Nothobranchius furzeri: one gene and its partner. The protein of the gene in region 1 purifies or fractionates together with the protein of each later gene. This does not show direct contact. Links are inferred from orthologs where the notes say so. Each region holds a gene or a part of one and is shown in the gene's direction. Other genes may lie near its edges. The genes, in order: pole and mms19.

Region 1 (16,336 bases):
GCTGACCATGCCCATGACCCGTTTATGTCACATGTGTCATGTGTGACCACAGAGGTGTGTGTCCTCTGTGGTCATATATAGGATGGCCATCTTCTGATGGCTATTTCCAGCAGGACCATGCACAATATTAGCCTAGAAATCAAGACCAACTGTAGCAGTAGAAAAAAAAAAAATTTGCTCCGCAGGTCGCTCTAGCCACGCTCTATTGTAACCTCTGCTGGTCTGCCATTGGCCCAAACAGTGTTGTCTCTTACCAATCACAGCGCTCTACATTTGTTGGGCGGGCTTAACACTAGAGCTGCATCAAAGAAAGACTCTCGAGGGGGGCGGGGGCCTTCCTGGTTGCAGTCTCCTTGGGGTTCCTGCGTTCTGGGGCAGCGCCTGGATCTCTGGGACTTGGAGCTCCCCCGTCTCCTGCGCATCTTTGGGGGGCAGATCTGTGGTCCCTCACACTCTCTGTTGGGCGCTCCTATAGAAAAACCTTAAATAAACAAGCGCGTGTACACACAGGTGCTCACATGGTGCTCTCAAAAGTATGGGCTTGGGCATGTTAAACACAGGTCTTAAGACTATGGTGGGCCCTTAATATGTTGTGATTTATTATCGTGATTCTTCAGTTAAGCAATGTTGATTATATATATATTTTTTTCTTTTCATCAAGTTGACGCAGTGAGAGGTAGATCTTGTTGTATTGTTGTTGTGTCCCTTTTTTGTGTCCCTTTGTTTTTTTTTTGTCTTTTTTTCTGCAGGTCTAGAAGCAGACTCTTGTTCATTATTGTTTATTTTTGTGGACCCCCCCCCCCCTCTCTCTCTCTCTCTCTCCCCACCTTTTCTTTTCCTTTCTCTTTCACCTCTGTCTCCGTGTCTGGTCGGAATTACAAAGCATTCAGCAACAATAACAATAAAGTTTTAAGTATCAGGCGTGACATTAAAAGCAAACGCTTTGATGCTCCACCTGAGAATAAATCTGTAAGGCTTGTCACCAGCATTCAGACATCAATTCTGCTTGCTTCACAGCCAGACAGGACACGGTAAAAAAAAAAAAAAAAAAGAGAAAGACTACAAAGATGGCATCAGCTCAGGAACAGCGTTGGTCTGAATAGGCTTTAGAATAGACTTTAGCCGATTTCGACTCAGACCTTTCTTTGACACAATAGCAGATAGAGATACTTAAGTTGTTTATTTCAAAAAATGATGCATTGGCTTCTTCATCTTTTTCTTTCACTGTGGTGGACTGCCCAGTTGACTGATTGCTGTCAAGATGAACACCTCACATTGTTTATCGCGTCGATTGATCCTAGCACTATCCATTTGCGTGCTGAGACTGTTTGAAAGACAACCGTAGATTCTGCCCAAGCACCAAGTCGTTTCAATTGCTCGTGGCTAGACTATATATTTACATATATAGAATGGCTATAGGCTAGCAGCATCTCATAAAGGTCAGATCACGTCTAACTGGTTTCTTGAACATGTCGAGGGGTTCACTGGGCTTCAGCGACCTCCACAATCTCCAGATCTCAGTCCAGTAAAATCAATTTAAGGCAGCCTTTGCAAAAGCCAGATCTCCTTTTTCCTTAATGTGGACCTCTGCAGATCTATTGATGTGGTAGATAAGGGTTCTTACTGGTGTGAATGTGGAGATTAGTTAAGTAGGATGGAGTCAAAACATTTTAAATAACCTTGATGCACAAAGAGGAGGAGGAGGAGGAGGAGCTGTTCCCAGGAGGAACAGCTCACCGGGGCACTCTTTAATAAAAGGCCAGTGTTTCACCCTGCACCGCGCACAAATGCAACTCTGTTGAAATCCAGCTATTGGTTGGAATGGAAATCAGGATTCACTGCCAGATTAAACGGAGATTAGATGACACAGAATTGGTTTTCCTTAGAATGTGCAAGCAATTAGACTTTGAGCAGTTAAGGGGTCAGACAGGAGCGGGCAGTAGAAGTGGACGGAGAAAGTTCAAAAGGAGGAAATAACATCCAGTGAGGACAGAGTACACAAGCCAGAGTGACACTGATCTCTAGAGATGAGACATTTCCTACCTTTGTCTCCCTCATGATGATTCCCACAAGCTCTGCTAACACGATTAGCTAAAAACATTGAGTAAAAATGTCCAACAGAGCACACAGCCATAAGCAGCCATCTCCTCTGATCCTCCGTCGTATAAAAGATCTTCCATCCAGTGCATAGTACACAACTTCTACAAATAAAAAACAAAATCTTATCCCGTCTGTTTACTGTGATGTGACCTGAGTCAGTTGGGTCAACACCAGTTTCAGAGTGACAGCTTAAAGCTCTTGTTCCAATATTAGAGCCAAGATTTCTGGCAGGCGACAATAGCACAACTCAGAGCTGTCAGGTGACACGATAACACATGGTCTGAACAGGAGAGGAGCGGCAGCACCTTACCACAAGCTGCAAGGGCCTTTAGCCAACATGAAGGCACATGACAGAGCAAAATAAAACAGGCCTGTCCCCAGAGGATGGAAATTAAATTGACTGAAATAGAAACAAAGTCTTACTTGATGACTGAGGAGCTGGATGGTGACACCCCAGAGAACTCCAGCTCACTGGAGGGTTTAGAGCCAGAAACCGGAGGCTGAGAGGAACCGCTTGGAGGTTTTGTTACCAGCACTTCCTCGTCTGAGGAGTTATCCTCTGATGCTCCGAGGATAAACTTGAGGCGCTTCCTCGCCTCGGGTTCTGAGCTGAGCATGGGTGTAGTGGTTCTGATGGGTTTCTGGGTGGACTGTGGCCGCAATGGCTGCCTTGAATGTACCTTAGAGGAGGCCTGCGAAGGATCAGACTTAATGTTGGCCAGGAGATTGTTGTTTTCATTGAGATATGATTTTACAGCAGCTGTTGACAGGGAATGTTTGTCTGCACGAGGATGGGTCTTTGAAGTGGACTTGTTCTCCTCAGCCGCCTGGGGACTGCAGCCAGAGAAGGATTCCTCTCCTTTCACAGGCATTGCTGTCTTGGTATTAATTCTCCACAGGAGTGTTAACATCCACAGGATTAATCCCAACACTGCAAACTGGAGCATCTGCAGACATCGTCCTGAGACTGCAACAAAAACACGTGGACACAGTTATTCATGCAGCACGTGAAAGTTCTCGCCCAAAATGAACATTCTTAAAAGGATTGACCGATTGGCTTATTGATTAAAGTAAAAATCTAAACTTTAATTCTTGTGTTATAATAGTTCTATGGTCGATACAAAACATGTTTATGAAGTTCTTTGTACAAAATCCCTCTCACATAAAGCAATTTCAGCAGTTTTGTTCCTGACAGTTTCAGTACCTGCCAAAATGTGCCATTTCAGGGTGCTGTCACTTTAAGAAAACAAGCGGGAGCTGGCTACGCCCACCCCTCTCCACTCAGTCTGCTATGAGCTGAGAAGCTTCGATATCCAGGAGGAGCTAGGCAGTAGATCTCTCTTGCATGTGAGAGGTGGTTCTACTTTCTCCGTTTGTGACATCACAAATGGGAACTTTTTGAAATGGCTTGCTTTAGGCACATGATGCTTGAAACCAAACACTGAGAAAAGCAATGGACAGGTATTTTTCATGTTTTGAGTGCTTATAGAGGCAGTAGAGATCCACATGGGAGCACAAAAAGATTCAAAAGATGAGTTTAGTATAATATGTCCCTTTTAAACCATAAAAGACAGCACAACATTCATAAAAAAAGACATGCAAAACTTATTTTTACCGCTGCTATGGCCTTGTCCTTGAATTCAGTGAACTAAGAAACCTAAAATCAGTGTTATTCATGTCTGTTTGCCATTGTAATCTTGAAAAGCTTTTGCTACAGTGATCAGAGGTCAGAAGGTTTCGGGAGACGTGAGCATTAGGGGTAACAAAGAAAGTCATCATTGTCATAATGGTCCAAAAACTAATAACTTGCATGGTATTAGTTTTAATCTGCAAAGTTATGCTACTCTGTGAGCCAGCAGAACACAACAGGAGTTATTTCCCAGGCAGGATCCAGTAAACAGGCTGCTTGAAACAGCTGACATCAGAGCTAAGTGTGGCTACTCAATGTGGGCTAAAGGTCAACGATGGGAGAGAAGGTAGTTTAAACTAAAAGAAGGGCAAAAACACCACCCACTAAAGTCTGAATTTATCCAAATAAAGATGATAAATAATAAACTAATTATTGTGAAATCAATGGTGAAAGTTTGCCTTTTCTACTACATTTCTAATTGAAATATTAATTATAATGTGTTTCCTGTGTAAGTGGCATTCAATAAGAAGCACGTCTTAAGAGGAAATGTCTTCATCAGAGTGCAACTTTTTATTCTATTTTGTGCCATATTGTTTAAAAAAAGAATGCAATTAACAGTATCTGACACATTTACTGTTGACTTCACACAAAAAAATAAATAAAACTACTTTTCAGCTCCATGCTGACATCAACCAACAGCTAAATGTACAAAAACATGGCAGACAATCGATTTTCATCAACAACATGCTGACCCATATTTACATATTCACAATCTGGTCCCTTATCTGTAAATTTAGCAGGAAGGTGTTTTTCCTTCCAATTTTTCTTTTTCCTTATATTTTCTGATCCTAATTTGAAAACAAGGCCATTTAAAGGTCAAGTTGTCAGATGAATGGGTGTAAATGGTTCCAGTGAGGTCTGTTAAACTCTAAATTCGGATCACTTTACAGTCATCGTTCCAAAAATAAGACCATATGGTCGCTGTTTTCACAAGTCAAGGGAATAACTGTCACATATGTTCACATAAGGCTCTGTGTTTGTCGGATTGAAAACGCATTTCCTCATGCAACTAAACGCTGCGATGGTGGCCGATAAACCGTTTCATATATTTCCAAGGCAGCAAATTTCAAAAGTACCTACCACCAGACCAGACGGTGTTATTCTTTCACCGCTACCAGCACCCTCTCCTCTCGAGTGCGATAGTAAACACGTTCACGTAAGAGGGAGGAGCCTCTCAAGCTCCTCCCAGAAACCATCAAAGATCAAATATGTAAAAAAAAAAAAAAAAATACCAACCCTCTAAATGTGTAGTTTCAAGCTGAAGAAAAACGGAAGTGATGAATGCTACATGAAGTTAGTATATGGAACTCAAAAGTATTCAAAATTCAATACATAAATAATATCTGCATGAAGAAATACTAGACAATCATGTAATCTGACAATAAAATGATGAAATAACAGAATGGTAAAAGAATGAAAAATATTTCATAATATTGAGCTTAGATTTTACATAATCCGTTATTTCATTTCATTGTCAGATTACATGATCGTCTAGTATTTCTTCATGTAGATTTTTAATACATAATGTCTTATTTGTATATTGAATTTTGAATACTTTTGAGTTCCATAAAAGACACGTGGGTTACAATAAATGGAAACAAAGTTAATGGTTTTTTGCACACTGCCAGAGTTTGTGTGTTTGTGTTTACATGATGAGGAGTGCAACTTTGACCTTTTCAGTGTTGAAATTTACTGATAAAACACACAATTTAACCTTACAAGTAGATCAATTCGTAGCTATGCTGGAAAGTTAACCTAACTAAAACGTATTTTGTTAATTTTGTTGTTGTGCGGCGATCGTATCAGAGTGCGCGGGTGTTTATCTTTGTTCACAAACGATCTTTGTTCTTCCGGCTCTGCTCTGGTCTCGCGGCAGTTGCAGGAACGCGCGAAATCCAGAAAACACAAATCCGGTCGGCTACGCTGTCAGAGAACGACCAACGCTTTAAAATACTAATATTAATATATAATTTAGACGCCTACGGCGAAGCAAATGGTTGTTTAAACATATATGACGGTGTTGCAGCTGAAAAACTGAATCAGAGGATGGTTTTGCAAAACAGCGGACGGTACAGGGCGGACCGTGGACAAAGTGGAGCAGATGTGGATAACCAGTAAGTTCGCTTGTAATTTCTGTTTATTAGATGTAATTGTGTCTGTGGAAGTACTTCAGCGTGTTCCAAAATGAGACGAAGAGCTAATGTAGCTGCTTGTCTGAACCAGGGATGATGGCTCGTCGGCCGTCAAGCGGCTCGAGCGCAGCCAGTTCACTGACGACATGGACGCTCGTTTCGGCTTCGAGAGGATGAAGGAGCCCGGGGAGAAAACAGGCTGGCTGATCAACATGCACCCTGTGAGTCCACACTCTGAAGTCTACCAGGTTTCTGTCTCAGGAGACATTTAACGCGTTTGTTCGCGTTTGTAGACGGAGATCCTAGATGAGGACAGGAGGATGATCAGTGCTGTAGACTACTACTTCATCCAAGAGGATGGAAGCAGATTCAAGGTTGGTTTATTTAAAAAGCCTCATGCTGGATGACATATTAATGATTGATGTTTATTCTGCCCTGACATGCTCTTCCTGATCTTTACTCCTTGTAGGTGGCACTTCCTTTCAAGCCTTATTTTTACATTGCTACTAGAAAGGTAAGTCTGATTTTGATTCAGGTTTTGAGTCGTTTTATCAGATTCCTATAGAACTTAATTATTCTTTTCAGAACTGTGAAAGGGAAGTCATTTCATACTTATCCAAGAAGTTCCAAGGAAAGGTGGCAAAACTCGAGATGCTTCCAAAAGAGGACTTGGATCTGGTCAGTTTTAGTTTGCAGTCAGAGGATCCATTGTTGACAACGCACTAAAAATCTACTTCTCAATTTCTGCAGCCAAACCATCTAGTGGGCCTGAAGAGAAACTACATCAAACTGTCGTTCAACACCGTTGATGATCTCATCAAAGTGAAGCGTGAGATCGCTCCGGCTGTAAGGAAGAACCGAGAGAGGGAGCAGTCCAACGACTCCTACACCTCAATGTTATCAAGGTAGGAATGATCTGTTGTGTCTGCTGGGTTCCTGAAAGCATCACGTTCCTAGTGTTCTCTGGATTTTGTTGTTTTAGCGCTCTGTCAGGTGGCAACGTCACCTCAGCTTATGATGATGGGATGTCGAAAAGTATTGTGGATCAGCTGGAGAACATAGTGGACATGAGAGAGTACGATGTGCCCTACCACGTCCGACTCTCCATCGACCTGAAGATTCATGTGGTGAGGACACTTTATAATAAAACCTTGGATTATTATTTACATAAATGTTGTAATAATCTGTGCTATCTCTGCCTCATTCAGGCTCACTGGTACAACGTTCGTTACCGTGGCAGCGCATTCCCGCCAGAGATCGTACGCAGAGAGGATCTTGTGGAGCGCCCGGTACGTATATTTTGTTTTTTGTCTTGAAAACACATTATTTATTCTCACTGATTACATTAAGTCTTGTATTATTGAAATTTTTTTTTTTGGATATTTAGGACCCGGTTGTTTTGGCTTTTGACATCGAGACAACCAAACTTCCTCTGAAGTTCCCAGACGCAGAGACGGATCAGATCATGATGATTTCCTACATGATAGACGGACAGGTGGGTTTAACACAGAGCCGTTCGCAAAGTTATCCTTTACCTCATCGTGTTTGCGTCAGTTTGCCAACTCGTGTTTTATTTCTTCAGGGGTTCCTGATCACAAACAGAGAGATTGTCTCTGAGAACATTGAGGATTTTGAGTTCACTCCCAAACCGGAATACGAAGGGCCTTTCACTGTTTTTAATGAGGCCGATGAGGTCTAGACCTGTGCAGATTCAGCTGATTATTACCGTATGAAGTGCTTTTGCATTAAAGTGTTTCTGGTTGCAGGCTGGTCTCATTCAGAGGTGGTTTGATCACGTTCAGGAGACCAAACCAAACATATTTGTAACCTACAACGGAGACTTCTTTGACTGGTGAGCTGATTGTAATTAAAAACTCACAGCCCAGTTTTTAAATCACGTTTATTCTTTGTTAATGGGGAAAAACTTTATAAAATATCCAGGATTAATTTTAAAAATAGCAGTTTATTAGAAACTTCTATTTTGTGAGGGTGTTTTTGGTCCTCTTCAGGCCTTTTGTCGAGACCCGAGCTGCCCACCACGGCCTGAGCATGCACAGGGAAATCGGTTTCCAGAAGGACAGCCAGGGGGAGTACAAGTCCAGCCAAGCCATCCACATGGACTGCCTGAGGTGGGGATGATTCTGACTCCCACCTACTGACAAGGTGTGCTGATTATTTTAATGGGAATTGTTTTCTCACGCGTTCATTCCAACTTTTACCAGGTGGGTAAAGAGAGACAGCTACTTACCTGTGGGAAGTCACAATCTCAAGGCAGCAGCCAAGGCTAAACTGGGCTACGACCCGGTGGAGCTGGACCCTGAGGAGATGTGTCGCATGGCAACGGAGGAGCCACAGGTCCAGAAACAAGATTTGAGTTTTAAATCCTATAAAAGAAAAGATTAGTCAGTTAAAAATACATTTGTTTTTCTTTTCCCACAGACTTTAGCCACCTACTCTGTGTCTGACGCCGTGGCCACGTATTACCTGTACATGAAATATGTTCACCCCTTCATCTTTGCGCTGTGTACCATCATCCCCATGGAGCCTGATGAGGTTCGTCTCAGATTTTTGTAGTAAAAGAAGACGTATCTGCTGATAAAGAGCCGTAAACTAAATGGTCTCTCGCTGCTCTTGTGTGAACAGGTGCTGCGTAAAGGGTCTGGGACTCTGTGTGAGGCCTTGCTGATGGTGCAGGCCTTCCACGTCAACATCGTGTTCCCCAACAAGCAGGAGCAAGTCTTCAACAAGCTGACGGACGACGGACACGTCATGGACTCTGAGACCTACGTGGGAGGCCACGTGGAGGCGCTGGAGTCGGGAGTGTTTCGCAGCGACATCCCCTGTCGTTTTAAAATGGTACATCCTCTTTTTTTTTCTCTGATAATTCTACTAAATCACCTTTAGGAGCTTGAAGCTTGACCGTTTTGGGTTGATGCTTTGACAGAACCCAGCCGCCTTCGACTTCCTGCTTCAAAGAGTCGAGCAAACAATGCGTCACGCCATCGAGGAGGAGGAGAAAGTCTCTCTGGAGCAAGTTACTAACTTTAATGAGGTGTGTGAACTTGTCGCCCTCCCCCTTTTTAGCTCAACACTTCCATCATGGAGTAACTGTGATGCTTTGTCAGGTGTGTGATGAAATCAAAAAGAAGCTGACTTCCTTGAAGGAGGTTCCCAATAGGATCGAGTGCCCCCTCATCTACCATCTGGACGTCGGGGCGATGTACCCCAACATCATCCTCACCAACCGCCTGCAGGTAAAAAAAACTAAAAGAATCACAAATCAGACGCAAGACTCTTTCAACAGCAGCAGGTTTAACGTCTTCATCGTTTGTAGCCGTCGGCGATGGTTGATGAGGCCACGTGTGCTGCCTGTGACTTCAACAAGCCCGGCGCCTCCTGCCAGAGGAGGATGACCTGGCAGTGGAGAGGAGAAATCAGTGAGCTGGTTACTCTGCACTAAAACAGGTTTGGGTTGGTTTATAAAATAAAAAAAAAACATCTATTTGTTTTCAGTGCCTGCAAGTCGCAGCGAGTTTCACCGCATCCAGCAGCAGCTGGAGTCTGAGAAGTTCCCCCCGCTGTTCCCCAACGGGGCCCCCAGGGCCTTCCACACACTCAACCGGGAGGAGCAGGCCAAACACGAGAAGAAGCGTCTTGCGGGTACCGTCTTTGTTTGGGTTCCCTTAAAGCAGATCTTGGTTTTAAGATGTGTAAATTGCAGTTTTCTTTGTTTTTTTTTAGATTATTGTAAGAAGGCCTACAAGAAGATCCACGTCACCAGGCTGGAGGAGCGCGTCACCACCATCTGTCAGCGAGAAAACTCCTTCTATGTTGACACGGTCAGAGCCTTCAGGGATCGGCGTTACGAATTCAAAGGACTTCACAAAGTAGGCTTTGGTTTTCCAAAAATAATTTTAAAAAGTCTTTTGCTTTCATAATCATTGTTTGTTCACTTCTGGTGCGTGTTTGCTGTTGAAGGTGTGGAAGAAGAAGCTGTCAGTGGCACAGGAATGTGGAGATGCTGCCGAGGTGAAGCGCTGCAAAAACATGGAGATCCTGTACGACTCCCTTCAGCTGGCTCACAAGTGTATTCTGAACTCTTTCTACGGCTACGTCATGAGAAAAGGGTACGAGTCGCTTCGTCACGCGTCCTCTCTCGCCGCTGCGGGGCTGATGCTGTCTTCGTCTATCTCTCAGGGCTCGCTGGTACTCCATGGAGATGGCTGGCATTGTGTGCTACACTGGAGCCAACATTATCACTCAGGCCAGAGAACTCATCGAGCAAATCGGGTGAGTGGCGTCGCTCGTTTCTCCCGTTCAAAGATCTGAATTTATTGTGATTCTGTAACCTCAAAGGTTTATTTTGGCATTAAGAAAGGCTTCTATCTTAAGTAATTTAGCAGTTTAGGGGAAAAAAACTAATAATTCTTCTCACACTTTCTAATTTTGACTCAGGAGGCCTCTGGAGCTGGACACCGACGGTATCTGGTGCGTCCTCCCCAACACCTTCCCAGAGAACTTTGTGGTGAAAACCAGCAACGAGAAGAAGCCCAAGGTGACCGTTTCCTACCCGGGGGCCATGCTGAACATCATGGTGAAGGAGGGGTTCACCAACGACCAGTACCACGAGCTGGTGGAGCCAGCGTCTCTCGTGTACAACATCAGGTCGGAGAACAGCATCTTCTTCGAGGTGGACGGACCGTACCTGGCCATGATCCTGCCTGCCTCCAAAGAGGAAGGGAAGAAGCTCAAGAAAAGGTTTGCCACACAAGTGATGAAATATTTAAGCTGAAAGGGCACTTTTAAGGACGCCCCGTGTTGTTTTTCAGGTACGCCGTGTTTAACGAGGACGGCTCTCTGGCTGAGCTCAAAGGTTTTGAAGTGAAGAGACGAGGGGAGCTCCAGCTCATCAAGATCTTCCAATCATCTGTGTTTGAGGCTTTCCTCAAAGGGACCACCCTGGAGGAAGTGTACGCGTCTGTGGCCAAAGTAGCCGACTACTGGCTGGATGTGCTGTACAGCAAGGTGAATGAATTTTTCCTTCGATTAAGTTTCTGAAACAGGAGTTTCTCCCCAGAGATCGGCCCACAAGCCATTTGTATATACTAGAGACCACCGCAGATGTGTTAAAAACCAGTGTGCCCACTTCAATCAAAAAAAGATTCAGTCTGTTTTTGTTTTTGTCATGTTTTTTGTGCTTGTTTTTTAGGCTGCCAACATGCCCGATGCAGAGCTGTTTGACTTGATTTCAGAGAATCGGTCGATGTCCAGGAAGCTGGAAGACTATGGAGAGCAAAAGTCTACATCCATCAGCACGGCCAAGAGGCTGGCAGAGTTCCTGGGAGACCAGATGGTGAAAGACGCTGGTCTGAGCTGCCGCTACGTCATCTCCCGAAAACCAGAGGGTTCCCCCGTAACAGAAAGGTGGATTTTTATCATTTAACACGGAAGGAATCAAATTTCTAACGAAAACCTTTTGTGATGAACAAGTCAAGCCAGAGGGCTCAAGCAGATTTCTTGATTGATCTGATATATTTATGCTGTTTTCCTTTGGGTCTCTCTGGAGAATAGTCTCTTTGCATTACCACCAGAAGTAAAAGCTTTGGGTCTGACACCATCACATCTACATATTTCCCCAATCAGGGCCATTCCTCTGGCCATCTTCCAGGCAGAGCCCAGCGTCAAGAAGCATTTCCTCAGGAAGTGGTTGAAGATGCCCAGCCTGCACGACTTGGACATCCGCACGGTGAGTCATAATGTTTTTTCCAGTTAAAGATAAAACCTCATCATATATATATATATATATATTCAATTTTTTTTTTACACATTCTTGTCTCCGGGTGACTCCAGATCCTCGATTGGAGCTATTACATCGAGAGGTTGGGCAGTGCGATCCAAAAGATCATCACCATCCCTGCAGCTCTGCAACAGGTTAAAGCTCATTTTTTTAAAAATCGACCACTTTCTGAATGCAACTCAAGTTTATGTATAGATTCGTTTGAATTTTTCTTTTTACCATCAGGTGAAGAATCCAGTTCCAAGAGTCAGACATCCTGACTGGCTTCACAAGAAGCTCCTGGAGAAAAACGACATCTACAAGCAGAAAAAAATCAGTGAGCTGTTCACCAGCGAGGGCAAGAAGCAGGTAGGGTCAGCTGATCAGTCAGCATCGTGAGCGCTGAGCAGAGCTCCCATGTGTTGCTGTTTCTACATCTCCCAGGTGACCCACCAGCCTCTCGAGGCAGGTCATACAGCAGATATGGAGGACTTTGGGAGGCCGGCTAGACCCCCGCAGCCCGCCGTTCCCATCAGCACCAAGCGTAAGCGGGCGTCTCAGGGGAGTGACAGTCAGGTGGAGTCTCAGGACGTTGAGCTCACGCAGTCATGGAGAGAAATCCTGGGACCGCCTCCATCAAAGGGAACAACACGGGTGCATTTCCAGCAGATTTTAATCCCACAGGGATTTTGTTAATCTCAGGTTTTATTTTGATGTTTAATTTTAACAACCTGTGTCTTTTTGTGCAGGAGGAGCATCTTGTTTGGCTTCGTTATCACAAGAAGAAGTGGGAGCTGCAGCTGAGACAGAGGAAGGAGAAGAAGAAGAGGAGGAAGCTGTTGGATGGAGAGTCTCAACCTGTTGGAGGAGGTGTGATCCGAGGTGGCTCCGCCACCGGCCTGGGGAGCTTCCTCCGCAGAACTGCTCGCAGCATCCTGGACATGCCTTGGCAGGTTGTGCAGGTAGAGCAAAGTCACCGTGGCGGTGACATCCAAACGTTGGATGTGATCGTTGGACAAAATTCAAGGAAATGACTGTGATACGTCTCAGATTGCAGAAACGAGTCACCCTGGTCTGTACAAGCTGTGGGCTGTGATCGGAAACGACCTTCACTGCATGAAGCTCAACATCCCGCGGGTCTTCTACGTCAACCAGAAAGTCCCAAAACAAGAAGAGGGAGTGGCGTTCAAAAAGGTACGGGCTGAGAAAACCGAGTTCAGTTCATCCAAAACTGTGTTTAATTCCCAAACGGTGACTTCAGGTGAACCGCATGCTGCCGCGCTCCAACATGGTGTACTTCCTGTACGAGTACTCTGTGCCAGAGGAAATGTACCAGAAGCACATCAACGAGATCAACGCCGACCTCTCGGCTCCCGACATCGAAGGCGTCTATGAAACACAGGTGACCTTAAACTCCACCACCTCCATGTTTCCAGTTCGGCTTCATTAACCTCACTCCATCACCTGTTTCCCAGGTCCCCCTGTTGTTTCGTGCCCTGGTGCAGCTCGGCTGCGTGTGCATGGTAAACAAACACATCGTCAGAGATTTGGCCGGCAGAGAGACGGATTCCTTTGATCTGGAACATCTGGAGATGAGATCTCTGGCTCAGTTCAGCTACCTGGAACCCGGTGAGATCTGCAGAAAACCTCATCTTGAATTAGTCAGAGACAATTGCCTTGGTTTTACATTTTCTCCATCCTAACACACATGCTTGCCTTTTCCTTAGGAAGCATTCGTCACATGTACTTGTATCATCACAACCAGGGTCAGAAGGCTCTGTTTGGGCTGTTCATCCCCTCTCAGCGCAAAGCGAGCATCTTCATCTTGGACACGGTAAAAGAAGCACAGTTTTTGTCTTCACCTGCTTCTGAATGTGTTCTAAACTCGCATCCAATGCTTCTACTACTGGTCTGAGGCCACGTATGTGTGTCTCCGTGGTAACGGGGACCAAAACAGTCAGGTTTTAGCTAATTCGGAGCAAGATAACTCTTGTGGCAGGGCTGTTGGATTATTTCTGAACGAGCTTCGGAGTGTCATCCTTTTGTTGCAACTTTGTGATTTTCAGGTGCGAAGCAACCAGATGCCCAACCTGAGTAACCTCTACACAGCAGAGCGCACCGCCCTCCTGGAGAAGACAACGGAGGAGCTTCTACCTCCAGAGAAACACACCTTCGAGGTTCGAGCTGAAAACGACATCAAGGCGATCTCTCGTGCTGTGCAGCGCATCCTGCTGAACTACAAAGTAAAAGACACAAATTCTGGTGTTTTTATTCTGTTTTACTAATAAAATAACCATAACCCATCTATGTTTTCACTGTCCTACAGGTAGGTAATCTCCTTGTTTTCCTCCATGTTGATTTATCTCTTTGCTGCGTTCAGGAGGAGCGACGTGGGCCCACTCTCATTGCCGTCCAGTCCAACTGGGAGCTGCAGCGGCTAGCAGCAGCCGTGCCGGTGCTCGAGGAGTTCCCGGTGGTTCCGGTGCACGTGGTGGATGAGATCAGCTACAATGTGCTGGACTGGCAACGCCACGGGGCCCGGCGCATGATCCGCCATTACCTCAACCTGGACAGCTGCCTGTCTCAGGCTTTTGAAATGGCCAGGTAAGCCCAGCTCACCTTCTCCTCAGTGGAATTAATATTACTGCGTGGCTACCAGGAACTCCTCCTTTCAGGTATTACCACCTGCCAGTGGGTAATTTGCCCCAGGACGTGTCCATCTTTGGCTCCGACTTGTTCCTGGCGAGACATCTACGGAAACACAACCATCTGCTGTGGCTTTCACCCACAGCCAGGCCCGACCTCGGTGGGAAAGAGGCCGACGACAGCCGCCTGGTCGTAGAAAACGACGATCAGGTGTCCGTGGAGATCAACGCACAAGGATGTTATTCCACAGGTACTCCAACTACCAGGAAACCTCAGGAACCAGGAGTTTCTGGAGCTCCTTTTGCTGTGTGAATATATGTTGGTATGTGTCATCTCCAGTGTGCGTGGAGCTGGATCTGCAGAGCCTGGCGGTGAACACCATCCTCCAGTCGCAGCATGTCAACGACATGGAGGGCGGGGCCAGTCTGGGCGTGAGCTTTGACGTGATCCAGCAAGCGTCGTTGGAGGACATGATGTCAGGAAACCAAAGCGCCAGCTCTTTGGCTAGCTATGATGAGACGGCTCTCTGCTCCAACACCTTCAGGTGTGATCATCTTCTCAGCTGCATTCATTTACAGATGTTCCTCCTGTGGTTTAACCCCCCCGGTGGTGTTCATCTCCTCTGAGCAGGATCTTGAAGAGCATGGTGGTTGGGTGGGTCAGGGAGATCACGCAGTACCACAACGTGTACGCAGACAACCAGGTGATGCACTTCTACCGCTGGCTCCGCTCCCCAAGCTCTCTCCTCTACGACCCGGCGCTGCACCGCACGCTGCACAACATGATGAAGAAGGTGTTCCTGCAGTGAGTGCAGCATCCATTTTACCACAGAGGCATCATTTATGTAGTTGCTGCTCAAAAGCTTTGTTTAAAAGTTACATTTTGCAGCCAAAAGAACTGTGGGATTAAATGATCTCCTGATCCTGCTGTCTTCTGTTCCTGTAATAATCTGGCTGTTGTTCCGCTGGCAGGTTGGTGGCAGAGTTCAAACGTCTGGGCTCTACTGTGGTTTATGGAAACTTTAACAGGATCATCCTGTGCACCAAGAAAAGGAGGATAGACGACGCCATTGCCTACGTAGAATACATAACCAACAGGTCAGACATTTCTGCCCCCCAGATTACACGTTTTTATTGTGATTTCTTTATTTAGGTGCATTTCTTGGCTTACTCGAGTACATGTCTGTTTTCCATTCAGTATATCATAAATATTAATAAATACTAAAACTGATCTGGGGCCAGTTTAAATCGAAAGGACGCTAGACACAAAGCGTTTGATCCATTTTCATCAATCACCCGCCTGTGTTTCCTTTCTAGCATACATTCCAGGGAGATCTTCCACTCCCTGTCCATCTCCTTCTCCCGATGCTGGGACTTCCTGTTGTGGATGGATCCAGCTAACTACGGCGGCGTCAAGGGCAAACTACCTTCCAGCGTTCTGTATGGAGAGGTACCGCAATCTAAAAGTTCAGTTTGCAGAATAAAAAAACGGATCGGAAGCATAAAAATGTGTCATATGAACCAGGTTTATTTAAAATGTTTATTTATAGAGTTTGAACTAAAACACTTAAAGTACTCTAAACACTTTCCCGTTTTTATGGTTTTAGGAAAACGCCAAAGAGAAGAAAATCACACAAGGAGAGGAAGACGAGGACGGGAGTGAAGATGAGGCTGAGGACAACGCTGAGGAAGATGATGGAGATGGAGAGGCTGATGAGGTGGAAGAGCTGATTGAGAGCAGCTGGAACATCATGCATTACCTTCCCCAAACGGCTTCCTGTCAGAAATACTTCCTCATGATTGTTTCAGGTAAAATAATAAAAAGTTATTCATTCTTATTCATTTCTGAGTTATTATTTACCGTCCCGCTCCTCCCGTGCAGCCTACATCGCTGCCGTTTACCACAGCATGAAAGAGGAGCTGAGACGTAACGCTCCGGGAGCAACGCCAGTCAAGAGGCGCGGAGGCAGCCAGGTTTCACAGCAGGCCGTTG
Region 2 (16,236 bases), on another chromosome or scaffold:
GAACATCATGCTTTGGGGCTGTTTTTCTGCTAAGGGGACAGGACGACTGATCCGTGTTAAGGACAGAATGAATGGGGCCATGTATCGTGAGATTCTGAGCCAAAACCTCCTTCCATCAGTGAGAGCTTTGAAGATGAAACGTGGCTGGGTCTTCCAACAAAGGAGTGGCTCCGTAAGAAGCATTTTAAAGTCCTGGAGTGGCCTAGCCAGTCTCCAGACCTCAACCCCATAGAAAATCTGTGGAGGGAGTTGAAAGTCCGTGTTGCTCGGCGACAGCCCCAAAACATCACTGCTCTCGAGAAGATCTGCATGGAGGAATGGGCCAAAATACCAGCTACTGTGTGTGCAAACCTGGTAAAGACCCATAGTAATCGTTTGACCTCTGTTATTGCCAACAAAGGTTATGTTACAAAGTATTGAGTTGAATTTTTGTTATTGACCAAATACTTATTTTCCACCCTGATTTACAAATAAATTCTTTAAAAATCCTGCCATGTGAATTCATGGATTTTTTTTTTCACATTCTGTCTCTCACAGTTGAAGTGTACCTATGATGTAAATTACTGACCTCTGTCATCATTTTAAGTGGGAGAACTTGCACAATCGGTGGCTGACTAAATACTTTTTTGCCCCACTGTATACCTCTTCACTCATGATGAAAGGGAAGATGATGTTCTTGTTATTTTGCTGGAGGATGCACTCTCAGGGATTTTTGACCCGAATGGCCATCCATTGGTAAGGTCTTACTTGAACACAAAAGTAATGCTTGCAATCATTTAGGTATGTACTGCCCCCTATCGCCAGGTAAACTACACATTGTCACTTTAAGGGAGAGCCCAGACACTCTGTGGAGGAAACTCATTTCAACTATTTGTATCTGCAGTCTCATTCTTTCTCTCGTGAGTGACCATAGGTGAGAGTAGGAACTTATATCATCCGGTCAATTGAGAGCTTTGTCTTCCGGCTAAGCTCTCTCTTAGGTACAACGCCCGCATCACTACAGATGCAGCACCAATCCACCTATCAGTCTCACGCTCCATCTTGTGAACAAGACCCTGAGATACTTAAATTCCTCCACTTGGGGCATGACCTCTACCCCGACCCGCAGAAGGCATTCCACTCTGACTCAAGACCATGGTCTCAGATTTAGAAGAACTGATTCTCATCTCAGCTTCTTCACACTCGGCTGCAGCTAGAATTCCTGTCCATAAAAGTTATCAGAATCAGAAGGGCTTTATATCCATATGTGCGAGAATCACAACATTAGGAAATTGCTGTGGTACTCGGTGCAAAAAAAAAAAAAAAAAGAAAGATAAAAGACGCCCTGAGAGACGCGGTCAGACTACTTCTCCAAATCCACAAAACACACATAGATTGGTTGGACGAACTCCCACACACCCTCCAGGACCCCCTAAGGGTATAGAGCTGGTCCGGCGTTCCACAGCCACGACAAAAACCACATTGTTGTTCCTGAATCCGAGGTTCAACTATCTGATGGTTATATGATGTTTAGGGTTAGTTTTATTCCAGATGGAACGGGACGCACCTTCCAGAAAGCTCTTTTTTGTTTCATCAGTCTAAGGAATACTTTCCCAAATATCATCCAGATGTTAGTTTTTTTAAATAAATGTGAGACGGGTCATTGAGTTATATGTATATATATATATTTTAATAAATGGTTTTGGTGTGTTACTGGGATGTGTTTGGTGATCTGTAATGTGTATGTGAGACAAAAAAGCATAAACATATGAAATCTGTTAGGAGGCACAAACTTTTGCACAGCGTTTCTAAATGATGATATTAACCAGTCGCTTTCAAATGTCTGACTGGTTTGTGTTCCTAATCTTTAGTCATTAACACGATCTCTAGCATGTACACTTTTGCTAGCAGTACACAACAATAGGCTGTACTTTTCTAAATCTAGCTCGCTGACTGAAACTACATTACTTGGCCTTATGCTCCGTTATCAGCTCAGCTGAATTAATGTTTTGTTTCTGTTCCTGTTGTAGTGGAAGCCTGACGAGTTCTCAGCCTCACACTCGCGCGCGAGGAGTCCAGCTACTCTCAGACGTTTTACAGGAGAACTATGCAGATCTCACAGAGAGAGAAGGTACCCCTCTTATGACGTCGTCCTCTCGCTCACATAAAGCACACTGCTGGTAATTAGGAATATTAGGAATGGGAGAATAGAAGGAAAGATTGATCACTTTTCTCACCCCCTCAGTGGAGGTGCTGATTGCCTTCTATGAAAACCGTCTGAAGGACCATCACGTCGTCACGCCGCCTGTTTTACGGGGACTTCAGGCATTGGTAAGTCCATCTGAAGTAGATTTGCAGTAGCCAAAGACCTGCCTGGCTTTAATCAATTCATTTAGATCAGAAGGAGTTGCAGAATTTTTGGTCTGTTAAGTGTGTGTTTTTGTTTGTCCCAGACAAAATGCACAGCACTGCCTCCTGGCTCTGCCGTCTCGATGCTCAGGTCTGTGTTTCAGGACGTTCATGTTCAGGTGAGGCTCACACACTGTTGCACAACAGTATCAGCATTTATGTAATGTTTCACACAAGCTTCCCAGTTTGGGTGTTGTTAAATTTCACCTCACTCTTTAAGGTGACCTCAGGTACCAGCGTAACTCCTGACCATAATGCTGTTCCTTCTTACTAAATGTGTTGTTAGGTCATTTTAAGTGTTGCCATTGTTGCTGCGAGCTCACCTCAGTTTGTCTCCCACCTGCAGTCGTTGATGCTCACAGAGAGAGGCTGCGTCTACAACATGCTCATCAACCTCATGGAGACGAGAGAAGCAGGTAAGAAAAGGGAGAGCTGGATCACCTATGAGGAAATGCTGAAAGCATGTTTTCTGTAACGTAAGGGAGTTTAGAATTATCGGCAGGGTTTGCAACAATAGAAGTTTGAGTGTGTGTACTTCTAAAAGCGTTGCGTTTGGAGTAAAGCTATGAAACAATCAGAGGGGGGAGCTGAAGCCATTTTCAAACAGTTAGGTTCTGATGTTGCTTAGACCTCACTATCTAAGTGCTTCATTGTGCTTATAGTTTATATAATAGAAGGTATGTCAGGATGCTTGGTGGTGCAGTTGGTTGCTCTGCAGTGCAGGTTCAAATCCCAGCTGCAGCCTTTCTGCAGGGAGTTGGCGTGTTCCCTCTGTGCAGGTGTGGGTTTTCTCCGGGTGCTCTGGTTTCCTCCCACAGACCAAAAACATCTAGGCTGGGTTGATGGAAGACTCTGAACTGTCCCTAGATGAGACACAGAGTTTTTCTCTGTGTTTCTCTGTAAAGGAGACCCTGTCCAGGGTGTCCCTCACCTCTCACTCCATGGAGTTAGACACCAGCACCCTGTGACCCTACGGAGCAATAAAAAGTTCTCATGATTAGTGTTGTGCATCAAGCATCGGTTGGAGCTGGGACTAGCTGTCAGTTTTTCCCAGATTCATTCAGTTTTTAACATTTTGATTCCTAGTTTTGATTTGCAGACTAGACTAGAAGAAGAATCTGTGGCGAAAAAAAAAAACATGTTCTGCAAATTCTGCTCAACACCTTTCAGAGCTGATCACACCAGCGGTCCTACTCTGCAGCCCACAGAGACCCTGAGAGCAGCATCGTGTCCCTCCTCCCTGTAAACAACAGTCTGCTGAACTTTTACTGCGTGATGTAAACTTTAATTCCTCAGAAAAAAGTACGGCGCAGTGGAAGCTCGTTAAAACGCATCGGTACAGTCAATTTAATACAAGTTTTAAAGAACAAACCGGGCGGTGTGAGGTGAGTTTGTCTCACTGCAGAAATAAAAACACACGGAGCGTCAGCAGTCAAACGCAGCCGCTCACCAACACTCGTCCGTGTGAGCGTGAGCGTCAGAAGGCTGAACAATAAGCTGTAAAATAATTAGTCATCATGCTAGAGCAGCTTTCCCTGTGGTGGACCACACCCGGTTCTGGCCAATAGAAGCCGGTAGGGATAATAAATAAATAAAGATAATAATAAAAATATCTCACAAAATGCAAAGTTGTGAGATTTTTTTCTTTTTTGAACTATTTAGTCTTTGGAGAGTTTTGTTGTTTACATCTGTTAGATTAGTTTGGACAGCAGCTACGTTTAAGTTCCAGTTTCCCTTCTGACTGAATGCTGCTGCAGCAGGCTGGTGTGAACTCGGTCACCCTGGACATGATCATCCTGAGAGGTTTAGGTGAAAGCAGCTGGAACTTTCTGGTTATGTTGGAGACATTTAGCCTGAGGCGTCTTCAGTTCCCAGACTTTGGTTGTGGTCAGAAACAAACACACGGATTGTGTTTCAAGTCTTTTTGTTTCTTTCTTGAAAACATGCTTTTGCCTAAATGAAGGTGATGTTGTTGTTCATAGAATTAAAATTCATGTCGAAATTCAGATTATTTCATCAAGTAAACCCTGTGGTTAGCTGGCTCATTTAAAACATGTAGTTTTTTGGATCCTACCACTTGAAAGAATCAGAATCGGAAATCTTTAGGAACCAGAATTGAAACAAGGAATTAGAATCGGAATTGTTCAAATTCAAACGTTGCCCAACCGTAATCATGAATGGATGTAGAGACAGGCCTACGAATGTAAATAAGGTTTATGTCAGTGGTGTCCAAAGTGGGACACACAGGCTATTTGTAGCCCTCATGGGGATTTTGAACAGTCCTGGGTGGTTCTGATAAATAATCCACACTTGTGTAGCTCCTTTCAGAGTCAGAGGACTCCAGAGCTCTTTACTCTACAGTGTATCACAGAGAATTCAGCTGATGGAGAAAATAGCTTCAGACGACAAGATTTAGACTCTTATTTCCTGATATTTGTCATCTCACATCTGATTGGATAACAGCAACACATCTCTACCACTGACTCTGCTCTACAATGGTAATGTTTCATCTCCACAAATAGCACAAGCCTGGAGGAGTTCTGCTGTCTGGTGGAGTTCCTAATGCTAATAGTTAGCTTCTACTAGCCAAAACGTTCTCAGCTGTTTCCTGGGAGCTAAACCCACAAGTTATATGTGATGTTTTTTGTTGTATTATTTGTGTTTTATAAAACAAAAATATTTCTGTAACAAAATTTTGTAACATAAATTGACTGAAGTCTCTGGAGCTCATGCAGCAATATTTTATAAACATTTAAGCTTCTGTGAATTTCTGCAGGAATATGAATAGATTTCTGCATTTGGTTATAGTTAAACTTTAAATAACAATATTTTACAGCACTAATGTAATGATTGATGGCGGCGTTAACACGAGAAACACGCTTTAGTCTTGGCTGCAATTAGACTAGCTGTTAGCCCATCAGTCTTGTCAGATTTGAACTGTTTCTCTGAACAGAGGCTGTTCAGTAAGCTGTCCACAATGGGACATTATATGTCCTTTTTAAAAAGCTTAATCAAAGTGGCTTTTTTCTGCTTGACGTTCCATCAGAGCTGAAAGGTTTGGGAGCCGACTTTGTTTTTGGATTTGTCCAGTCAATGGACGGAGAGAGGGATCCCCGCAACCTCCTGTTAGCCTTCCAGATAGCCAACAACATCATTCTGGGAGGATACAGTCTAGGTGAGGATCTTCTCACCGCACCATCCTCTGTTCCTCTTTTATTGTCACTGTTTCACCTTTTTACTTTCCCAATCAGGTAAATTCACAGAGGAGCTGTTCGAAGTGACGTCCTGCTACTTCCCCATAGACTTCACCCCTGTAAGTTCCTGTTCACTCAGCTGGTTGAGCTCATCACAGTTTGTTGCTGTCAGGCAAGACACTTAACCCCCCTTGCCTGCTGGTGGTGGTCGGAGGGACCGGTGGCGCCAGTGTATGGCAGCCTCGTCTGTCAATGCGCCCCAGGGTAGCTGTGGCTACATCGTAGCTCATCCCCACCAGGGTGTGAATGTGTGTGTGAATGGATGAATGACTGATTGCGTTGTAAAGCACCTTCAATCAATCTATTTATAGAGCGCCCTCCACTGCCTCTGCGGAAGCCCAAGGCACTGACCATGACATAGATTAAAATAAAAACAGATTGATAAAAAGTCCTAAAAACCACATACAAACATAAAAGCATGATGGAACACACACACACATATATATGTTAATATATGTATATATACTCTATGCCACATAGAGGATTTCACCTCGATAACGATAAATGGACGATAACTACAGGTATGCGCAGAAACAAAAGTTGTCCACTAGATGGAGCTGTGGCGTGTTTTAGTTGAGTCACATTTTTACATGACTCAAGGTGGTGCAGCGTCTTAAAGGTACATTAACGCTGCCAACCTACATACATCTTTTAATTTCTTATTATCAAATTTATTGACATGGGAACAATTATCTCGATAAGAGTCAGAAATTTAGATAACGATACATTTTTTATTTATTGCCCAGCCCTATTATATATACATCAGAGAAGGATAAGAAAAATAAAAACAAGTCACATAAAAGCCAAACGATAAACATGAGCCTTCACGTGACTCCTGGCCTGTATTTGACTCTTGAAGACAACAGGTGAGGGTGACTGTTTGATGCCAAGTGGCAACTCATTCCAGAGGGATGGAGCCAAGACCGAGAAAGCCCGATCTCATCTAGATCTGTACCGGGATTGAGGAACAGTCAGTAGCTCCAGCTCAGCCGAGCGTAGAGATCGTGAAGGGGTGTGACGTGTTAATAATGCTGCAAAGTATGGTGGAGCACCACCATATAGAGACCAGAAGACAAAGCAAAGGACGTTCAATAGACCACAGGAAGCCAGTGTAACAATGCCAGCACAGGAGTAATGTGCTGAATTTCCTCGTCCCTGTCGGCAAACGTAGGGGGTTCCAGGACTCTAGAAGGTGCTATATCAAATACAGGCCATTTACCATCACTGATGTTGGCAGAACAGACCGACTCTGGAGCAAAAAACTAAACCGTTTAGCGTAGGGATGGACAATATATCGGCATCAATGTCGGTATCGGCCGATTTTAGTCATTTTTTAACATATCTGTATCGGTTTGATAAATAAAACCGGGCCGATATTAACGACCAATATTTTTTCCATCTTGTCTTCATTTGTTTGCCTGTTTCAGAGGGTGAGGGGGTGATGTGTCTATGTTTAGTCATGTGAACAGTGAATGAAATCATCTCAGAACCATAAATGTGTGTGGTGTGTGTACATAATAATGTAAATTTGGCTTTAATAATTTTCGTTTTATACAAAATTACTGATTTTAGAAGCATTAATGTCAGTATTTCTGCATCTGCAAATATCGGTTATTGGCCATAGCAGTGATCTTAATATTGGATATCGGTATCGGCCCAAAAATGTTCATATCTGTGCATCACTAGTTTAGAGTCAAAGAGCCTCACACACACGCGATTGCTCTCAGGATTCTTTACTGTTGGAGGACACAGGACTGATGGGAGCACTCATCTTTTTTTCTTCAGGGGCTCCAAACAATCAGAAAATTATCCGTCATTTAAAGAGACTTGCATTCCAGTCTCTGAAGCTTTAGCAGAGCACGAGCCAAAACAAATCCTACACACTAGTTTCAGATATTCAGTAGATTCGTAATAAGTGAATCATTTTGGTTCATCTGATTGTATTTGACATTTTATCACCACTTGTTTAAGCTTTTCTTGGGTTTAATTTCCTGTAAATTATCTTGTTTTTTTCCTCTCTCTTCTTGTGACCACCTCTCACCCTCTCCAGCCCCCCAACGACCCCCATGGCATCACCAAAGAGGAGCTAATTCTGGCTCTGAGGACCGTCCTCACAGGGACTCCCAGCTTTGCAGAGGTGGGGCGGTATCGTGACATGACGATTATTCATTATGGTACAATTTCAGGATCTAAAAATGTTCTTGTCCATTTCCAGTTTCTGTTGCCACTCATCATTGAGAAGATGGACTCGGACATTCAGAGTGCAAAGCTGGATTCACTGCAGACTCTTGTGAGACTGACTACAGCCGCAGCTTAGAGAAGAATAAGCTAAAGTAAGATGAAATGTGACTTTTATGATGATTTGTCATCTCTTTATATTTGATCTGTTTCAGGCTGCTTGCGGGTCAAAATATGATCACAGAGACTTGGCTGAATTCCTCCAGGGACTGTGGACGTCACTGCGCAGAGAGGTCTGTAGTGTTTTACAAAGTTTGAGCCGTTTTAGTTTAACCCTGGCTTTCCAATGGATGCATAACCATTTTAGCCATGAGCACCTTTCCTACTGGGAGTGTTTCAGGTGCAAACAGCAGCAAAAGAGCTCCACACAAATGGTCCGCAAAGTCACTGAAGGACCGGAAATTGCAAAACCACACATTAGATTTCAGATAGATGGCAGCATGTATCCGAAAAGGTCTGTGGTTTATTTCCTGTTTGCCTCAGCTTTGGAGGTGTTACAGGTAATGACGTACTTTTACTAGTTGATCAACTGAAAATCTGCAAGTGACTTTTATTTTGAAAGTTTCTGGATGTTTTACCCTGCTTTTGTTCAACTTCCTGTCTGACCCGATCTGAACTGCTGAGCTTGACATGTTCTGGAAGCGTAGTGTATAAAAAAAATTGAAGTATTCACAGCATTTCTGGGACGCTTTGCGGCCGGTGGAAACACCCATCCACTATAACAGCGGCTAATTGCTTCGTACTACACTTCGCTGACGTTGCGTGACGCTTACACGTCTGGTGGAAAGGCCCGGTGAACAACCCTTTTTTTCCACCCATTCAATGCTGCAAAAACTATAATTTAACCTCTCACATATTTATTTTTTTTCCCTTTTTGTCCCACATAAAAGTTTCAGATCAGCAAACACATTTCAGTGTCAAAGACAACCTGAGTAAACACAAAATTGAGTTTTAGATGATTTTTCACGCTGCCATCCAACCAGACGGGGGCTGGGCAATAAATTCAATATTTATCATTATCAAAATTTCGACTTTTATCATGATCGTTTTTTCCACAATAATAATGATAATAAAAAATGAAAAAGGTGTGTGTAGGTTGGCAATGTCCCTTTAAGATGCTGTACCACCTTGAGTCATGTAAAAATGTGACTCAACATAATGCACGTGACGATATATGGTGATGTTGATTTTAGGCCAAATTGCCCAGCCCTAAACCAGACTGTGCCATAAATAGTAAGTAAGTACATTTTTTTTATATATAGCACTCATCACAGACATAGAAACACAAAGTGTGCTTCACATAAAACAAAGTCATAAAATCATAATGATCTCAAAACAGAAATAGATTGACATCAGAAAACATAAAATTATAAAATTTCATAAACAGAAACAAAAGCCCCATTCCCACCTGTACCGGGTCGGCCCGGGCCGGGTAGCATAGGTTGTTTACATATCTGGGTGGCCTGGAATTTTCCCGGGCCAACCAAGGCTCATTCTCGGCCCTCTTCCCGAGGGGTACTGCTTCAGGCCGACCAGGGCCAACACGCCCACTGCTGACAGCAAATTCACACCTTCCATTAGAGCAAGCCTCTGATTGGTGGGTAGAATCAGCCCACATGGGCTTAAGGCAAGGATGTGTGGAATCAACCGGGCCAGGCTGGGGCCGACTGGGGCTACCCGGCCCGGGCCGACCCGGTACAGGTGGGAATGGGGCTAAATAGAGACGTTACTGTGAAACCCAGCCTCTTCACTGGTGTGTGTGCTCTCAGTACAGCCCCGTCTCCGTTTCCTGCCTGCAGGTGTTTCAGACATCCAGTGAGAAGATCGAGTCAGCAGCCCTCACCGCTCTCACCGCACTCACTTCCTGTCTGTCTCGCTCAGTGGTGAACTCTGATTCTGAAGACACCCTCATCACCCTCCTGGATCTGGTTCTAACAGGTGAACCAGTTCTTTAAAACGAAGGCTCCTTTTACAGGCAGGGTTTCATTAAAACCGTCTAATTAACAGCAGTGCAAACATCTTTGTGACATTTTCCCAGACTGTAAACATCATCTGTGCGAGCCCGACCTGAAGCTGGTATGGCCCAGTGCCAAGCTGCTACAGGCTGCCTGCAGCGCCTCCAACAGGGCGAGCCACATCATAACAGCTGCTGTCATGCCCTCTCTCATCGAGCAGTACAACAGCAGAACACAGGTCAGACCGAGAATCCGTAGTCATGTGTAGAGCTTTGCTGTTGTCATGGTTACTGAGTCATAAGCTTCTCTTAACAGTGTTCTCATAGACGTACGTTGTTGGAAGTGGTGCAACGATTCATCAAGTCAGTGAAAACAAACACGTCTTCAGATACCGGTGAGTTCATCATTCCTCTGATTTAAAGTTGAAACCGAGTTTATTTCATTCAAATAACAAACACTGATAAGACTCTTGAATTTTCACAAAGTAATCACTAGATTTACTCTTTCAGCACCTCGTGATTCACTTTGATTATAGGTCAGAGGATTGCAGTGTGATTATTATTCAGGCATATTTCCACCCCTCCCACCTTTTTATTGTCAAATCGATGTATTTGTACAGACCCAAAAAGAGTGCATCTCCAATAGAGCTGTAATTGTGGAGAAAGATCTGAGCAATAATGTTGATCAAGTAACTGAAGAGTTACTGCTCGCTCCCATAAAGGAGGATCAGTTTTGGATGCACTAGTCAACCCTGCTGCAACAACGAGCTAACACTAAGTGAGCCACAAAGTAAAAGATCCACCCTGTTGGACAAAAAATATTATGATTTACAAGTCCATTAGCAACAAAGCCAGGTCACCATCAGTCCGTGATGTCGTAGCCTCCTTTAGCTCCCTCAGACTAGCGTAGGCTGCACCAAAGTTCACTCTGGTTTTAGCTCTTTGCTTCAGCTCCAAAGACATTTTTGCTCTCTTACTTTTACTTTCAGGGTCCTCCATGATGCCAACAGTAAACTGTTATTGCCATAACGGCAGATAGAGACCTCCCACTAGTGTTCCAGCCTGACCCATTAAACGGGTTCTGCTGGTTCTGGTCAGCAGAAGGCTGTCTGATGTGATGTGGCTGAAGTTTGTGGCTAAAGTACCACTGCAACCAGTTTGAAAGCAATGGTTTAGCGTGTTAAAAACCTTTTAGTGTTAAAATGAACAAAATCTGTTCTTATATTTAAATCAGTTCAGAAACATGGACATCTTCCAGGGATTGATGGGACTTAAATCGCATGATCAGGCTCAGCCATCTCACACCAGTGGCATGGATGTAATTTTCACTTTAGAGGTGGGGGGACACGGGGGAGTGTATCTACAGTATGCTCTAATGGGAAACAGGCTTCAACACAAACGGTTGTTTTCCGCTTGGTCCTAGAGCTCAACCAGTGTCAATTTAATATAATATATATATATATAATATTTTTGGATGGTAAAAAGTGCAGGGGTCAAAACTTGACTTTGGAAAAAGTGGGGGGGGGGGGGGGGCCCATCTCCCCCCCCCCCCCCCCCCCCCCCCAGATTACGTCCATGGCTAGTGGTCTGTATAAAGATGCACATAACTTGTACCCATCTCTGGTGTTTGTAGATGAGAGTGTGCTGTCAGCGTACAGAGCTGCTCTTTGCAGCATGGTGTTTTCTGCTCTCTCCGAGAGTAATTCCAGTCTGCAGATCACTGCTACCACCGTTCTCACCTCACTGATACAACATAAAGGTAGGACCCTTTCATATCTGACTATCTGGGCTGATCAGGAGTCTGAAATGTTTCCTTCCTGTTGCTCAGGCCTGCTGTTAGACTCAGATGTTGGTCTGGCTGTAGATCACCTGACCAGACTGTTGCTGACCGAGGAGGACGAGAGTGTCAGGTCAACTCCCGTTGGGCAAATTTTAATGCCTTGGTGTTTTTTTTTGTTTACTTGATCCTGTTTTGGTTATGTTTCTACTTCCAGTTCTGCTGTTGTTGAGTGTGCTGGAGCTTTAGCAGAGCTGCATCCTGCAGCCCTCATCACTAAACTGATCCCAAAGCTGAAGGAGGAGATGTTTTCTGGTGAGCAATGTCAAGAAATCGGAAAAAATAAATTAGAAATTTTCTTACATTTTCTGTTGATTATAATACACTTTTTCATCTCCTTTGTTCAAGATCCCAGAGAAAATTCAGAGATGAATTCCCATCATGCAATGCGCCAACGTTGTTTGTCTGCTCTGGCTGCCGTGTCCCTCCAACCCAGTGTGGTCTTTGAGAGTACACCTGTCCTCCTGCAGGTCCTCAGTTCAGCACACACAGGTAATCTGTCTGTAGGCGTTTTCTATCCTCTAATGCAGGGGTCCCCAATCCCGGTCGTGGAGGGCCGGTATCCAGCAGGTTTTGTGGTTTTTCTGCTCCAACAGACTTGATTCAGTGGTTGAAACACCTGTTCAGCAGCTCATCAGGCTCTGCAGAAGCCTGTTAATTAGCTGCTGATTGAAATCAGGTGTGTTGAAACAGAGTTCAAACTAAAACATGCAGGATACCGGCCCTCCAGGACCAGGATTGGGGACCCCTGCTCTAATGGATCTGTATTTATGTTTACCAGACTGGTGTTTTTAACACACAACATTTTCTCAGCGTGTCTCTGAAAAACCAAAAAAACCATCTGATAATCAGGATCATGTTGTTGCTTTCAGATGGGGCTCGTTTCTCTGTGGACGAGGTGGTTCTGGCGTGCCGCAGCCTTCAGAGGATAGCCGAGCAGGTTCAGGACACTGAGGAGACGGGGCGATGTTTCCATGATAACATCATCCCACGCCTACTGTCTTTAGCTCTCCAGGCTGCGCTGCAGAGTAAATAAACTTTAAATTCTTCCTAAAGACATTTAAAGTCCACCAATATTATTATTATCTTTTATAAAACTGCAAACGCCAAGATCCCTGTTTTTACTTGTCATCTTTTTAAATATGATCTGTCATTCTGAGTTTAACATGCAAGCTAAACGGGAAAATAGTCTTGTAGCTTTTTTCCCCCTGGAGTAGCTGCCAATAGAAAATGGACAGAGAGACACTCAGATTAGAAAAGCCAGTTGATTACACGTCATAATGGCAAATTAGCATTCATGGACTCATCCATTTTGGCTCCTGACGGGGAAGGCTGTTGTTGGTTTAGCACCCTGGAGAAAGTAGAGCATGTCTTGGCTAGTAGAAGCTAACCATTAGCATTAGCAACTCCACCTCATGGCAGAACTCCTTCAGGCATGTGTTATTTGTGGAGGTAAAACGTCAACATTTCAAAGCAAACAGAGTCAGTGGCAGAGTTGCATTGCTGCTGGCCAATCAGAGGTGAGATGTCCAAGTTTCAGGAAATGAGACTAAATCCTGTTTGAAGCTCAGCTTTGACGTGGTTCACTCCTAGTTCCTGAAACAGGCGCACCAGAGCTTTTTTCCCCACAGAGATTGACCCACAGAAGTAATGAGTATAGAAATATAGAAAAATGAGTGAACTTGGTCTTTAAAGTAGGAGATCATCATGTAAAATGAACACGCTGTACTTTGTAGATGAGGGGTCGTCTGGTCATCGAAGTCCCCTGACCGAGGAGGTGTTTCTGTCTGCGCTGGTTCCTGTCATCAGCACTTCCTGCTCCCGGCTGCAGCCCAAGTCAGTACAAACTCCATCAGAGGGGTGGTCGATGTGTCAGACACGCTTAATAACATCAGATGTTGCTCCTCATGTCATTTTCTGAATGACACAACTATTAAGCATACATTTACCTGTTATTTCAGCTGTCTATGTCTATTGTTTTAGCTTGTAATGGATCACAGATCCCTCCACCTCCCAACCAAGCTTCACCCTCCCACCTGGAAAATTCTCTAGCTGATTTTCCTTTTTTAAAATGGTTTGACATTAATGGTGAAAAGGGTCTTTATTTGAACTAATCTGAGTTATTTGAACAGACATATCCGGCCGTAGAAGCTTTAATCTGTTGTGTTTCTCATTTGCCGATCATAATCACTGATATAATTTCTCTGCTCTAGTTTTGTCAGTGCCTTTGATTTGTTTGTGCAGTCTGCTTTAGAAAGTGAAGTCCCATGTGGTTTCCTGTCGGGTGGTTTCATGTCTCCAGGTTGGCAGGACAGACGGCGGCGAGGGCGGTGTCTCTCTTCCTGGATGGCGACGTCTCCTTTCTGCCTGATAATTCCTTCCCCTCACACATTCAGCTTCTCACGGTGTGTTTCCGTGTGTTGTTTTTTTTTTCTCCATTATTACAAAGGTGTATGGTTAAGGAGGTGTTGATGTTTTTCCCCAGAAGCAGCAGGAAGAGTCATGGAGTCGGTCTCAGCTGGTTTGTCTGCTCATGGCATGTGTGTGTTCCTTACCTCGCAGTGTGAGTCTCAGTCCTGATGTTAGTTCAGATAACTCTGAGTTGGGGTTTGAAGTTTGCTGTTCTGAAATGGACGCGTTACGTTCAGGTGGAGGTGCCCCAAATGGAGAGGTTGCTGTTCCAGCTGGAGGAGCTGAGCTGCAGCTGCAGCCACCTGCTGTCCTACACATCTGCTGCCAAGTGCTTCGCAGGCCTGATCAACAAGAGGCCTCTGGGTGTGTCTGTGTGTTCATGGTCCGGTCACATTTTCTGCACCTGTAGCACACCTCTTTAAGTTAAAGGTTGTGATGTCTGATCTGCAGGTAACTCCCTAGACGACCTGATTCAGACAACAATGAAACGAGTGTGTAGTGAGTTGGGCTGCACCTCCTCTCCTGTGCGCATTCAGGCCTTCACCCTCATGACCTGGGTAATAATCACCTTTATTTCTCATTTTTAACTTCTAGTTCTTCAAGCCTTTACAACTATTTGCCCATTTATTTACTTTGAATCCAGGGAAATTGTTTTATCACAGAGTCTAGTGAGTAACTGCACTCCTGTTCACATCCATTCTAGTTTTTACAGCTGGTTCCAGTTTTTGTTCAGTTCTGAATTATAATTGTTAGAAAGTTGGTTATGAAAATGAACTTGGTCCGGAAAAACAACGTTTCCTCTGGATTTGTGAAGAAGGCTTCATGGAGACGAGGAAAGTCCAGTAGCTCCTGGACCTGTAAAGTTTATCCAGCTGCAGGGTTGGACAACCACCTTGTTGTTGTGTAGCGTTGTGGTTTTATGCTCTTTTATGAAAGAGGAACCATGCTACGTATTAATTCGGAATATTAATTTTAATAAATCAATAACCAAATTTTATATTGTTCAGAAGACTCAAAGGTTGTTTTCATCCATAAACTGCCGATAATATCTGAGTGTCTGTGTTTCAGTTCAATGAGGAAACCAGTTTGACGTTTAAAAGTTTTAATTCTTCAAATTAAACTAATGATTTTGAAATTGACAAACAGGAAATACAATCAACATTAGTAACTTTGTGGGACAATCTCTTTAACAGTTGATATGCTGTTCTGGCTCAAATAGACCTTCTGATGAATTTATGAAGATTGAGAATGTTGTGATGGTGAGAGTGATATGAGCTGGGATGGGTGCGTGAGTGCATCTGATTTTGCTTCAGGAAGAACCAGGTGTCTGAGTGAAAAGTGATGGTTTGAATAAACTTAGGCTCTTAGTTGGAAAAGATGCATCAAAACGCTAAACACCGTGTTCTGTCTCACCGAATTCTTTTGGACCCTCTTTCGGATCCGGGGCGTCACCTTAGGATGTTTCATCCAGGGCACCTTGGCTGGCAGAAAAGACAAAGATGCGCTGCGACCCGGTCCAGAGTTGCCCTCGGTACACGTTGATGGTAAAGCGTTTTGTCGACGCGCTTTCTTAAGTTAATTCACTCAGAAATCAAAAGACTCGGTAATGAGTCTGCGTTAGAAGTTGCGATTCAGCTATTCTGCCTGGCGTGGCAGAAACAGCGTGAAAGGGGGGAAGAACGAGCCAACAGGCTCTGCCCCCCCTTTGGTTTTCAGGTCTGTTCTCTCTCGTTGTCCAACACCAACTGACTCAAAAAAGACTGAAACTTACCAAAAACCTCTCTTCTCAAAGCAAAAACATGTGCGTCATCAAATGTGTCTGGATTTTACTGTGGGAAGGTGTGTGTGGATGTTTGTGTGCTTGAGTGTGAAGGTCAGTACCAAACATTCAACATTATCTACTTAAGTGTGGATTCATTAATCCATTATAATTACCCCAAAGCATAAGAACCATTCATTTGATTAAATACATTTATAATGAGCAAAATGATAATGGTTATTTTTAACATTAAAATCAAGAAAAAGAAGTTTAAACTTTATGTTTTGACTTGGTCTGGGTACAACTCATGTAAACACATCTTCTGGTAGACTGCAGGTGGTTGATGTTATGGTTTCCTCCCAGACTCACTGGCGTTCAGGTCTTAATCTGTGGG

What was found.
Region 2: the proteins of pole (region 1) and mms19 purify together in Homo sapiens (affinity purification with western blotting; 3 studies listed by BioGRID and IntAct, with this or other methods). This does not show direct contact. The link is inferred for Nothobranchius furzeri from reciprocal best matches to the Homo sapiens genes POLE and MMS19.

Annotation. Positions count from the first base shown.
Region 1 is NC_091757.1:45,286,915-45,303,250, reverse strand, and holds the start of pole (DNA polymerase epsilon catalytic subunit A), read left to right. Parts: upstream 1-5,662; 5' UTR 5,663-5,836; coding exon 5,837-5,904; intron 5,905-6,013; coding exon 6,014-6,143; intron 6,144-6,215; coding exon 6,216-6,296; intron 6,297-6,391; coding exon 6,392-6,436; intron 6,437-6,507; coding exon 6,508-6,600; intron 6,601-6,672; coding exon 6,673-6,827; intron 6,828-6,904; coding exon 6,905-7,049; intron 7,050-7,130; coding exon 7,131-7,211; intron 7,212-7,309; coding exon 7,310-7,417; intron 7,418-7,504; coding exon 7,505-7,615; intron 7,616-7,688; coding exon 7,689-7,774; intron 7,775-7,931; coding exon 7,932-8,051; intron 8,052-8,144; coding exon 8,145-8,277; intron 8,278-8,361; coding exon 8,362-8,475; intron 8,476-8,565; coding exon 8,566-8,778; intron 8,779-8,866; coding exon 8,867-8,974; intron 8,975-9,047; coding exon 9,048-9,176; intron 9,177-9,256; coding exon 9,257-9,359; intron 9,360-9,435; coding exon 9,436-9,582; intron 9,583-9,663; and 47 more. Other genes in the region: acacb (acetyl-CoA carboxylase), read right to left, coding at 2,524-3,047. UniProt on the Homo sapiens protein: Catalytic component of the DNA polymerase epsilon complex. Participates in chromosomal DNA replication.
Region 2 is NC_091756.1:28,162,721-28,178,956, reverse strand, and holds part of mms19 (MMS19 nucleotide excision repair protein homolog), read left to right. Parts: intron 1-2,009; coding exon 2,010-2,110; intron 2,111-2,224; coding exon 2,225-2,310; intron 2,311-2,432; coding exon 2,433-2,507; intron 2,508-2,734; coding exon 2,735-2,804; intron 2,805-5,434; coding exon 5,435-5,563; intron 5,564-5,639; coding exon 5,640-5,701; intron 5,702-7,692; coding exon 7,693-7,779; intron 7,780-7,857; coding exon 7,858-7,932; intron 7,933-8,035; coding exon 8,036-8,113; intron 8,114-9,679; coding exon 9,680-9,818; intron 9,819-9,918; coding exon 9,919-10,073; intron 10,074-10,150; coding exon 10,151-10,229; intron 10,230-11,467; coding exon 11,468-11,593; intron 11,594-11,662; coding exon 11,663-11,744; intron 11,745-11,828; coding exon 11,829-11,926; intron 11,927-12,019; coding exon 12,020-12,163; intron 12,164-12,543; coding exon 12,544-12,699; intron 12,700-13,407; coding exon 13,408-13,507; intron 13,508-13,973; coding exon 13,974-14,076; intron 14,077-14,156; coding exon 14,157-14,234; and 5 more. UniProt on the Homo sapiens protein: Key component of the cytosolic iron-sulfur protein assembly (CIA) complex, a multiprotein complex that mediates the incorporation of iron-sulfur cluster into apoproteins specifically involved in DNA metabolism and genomic integrity.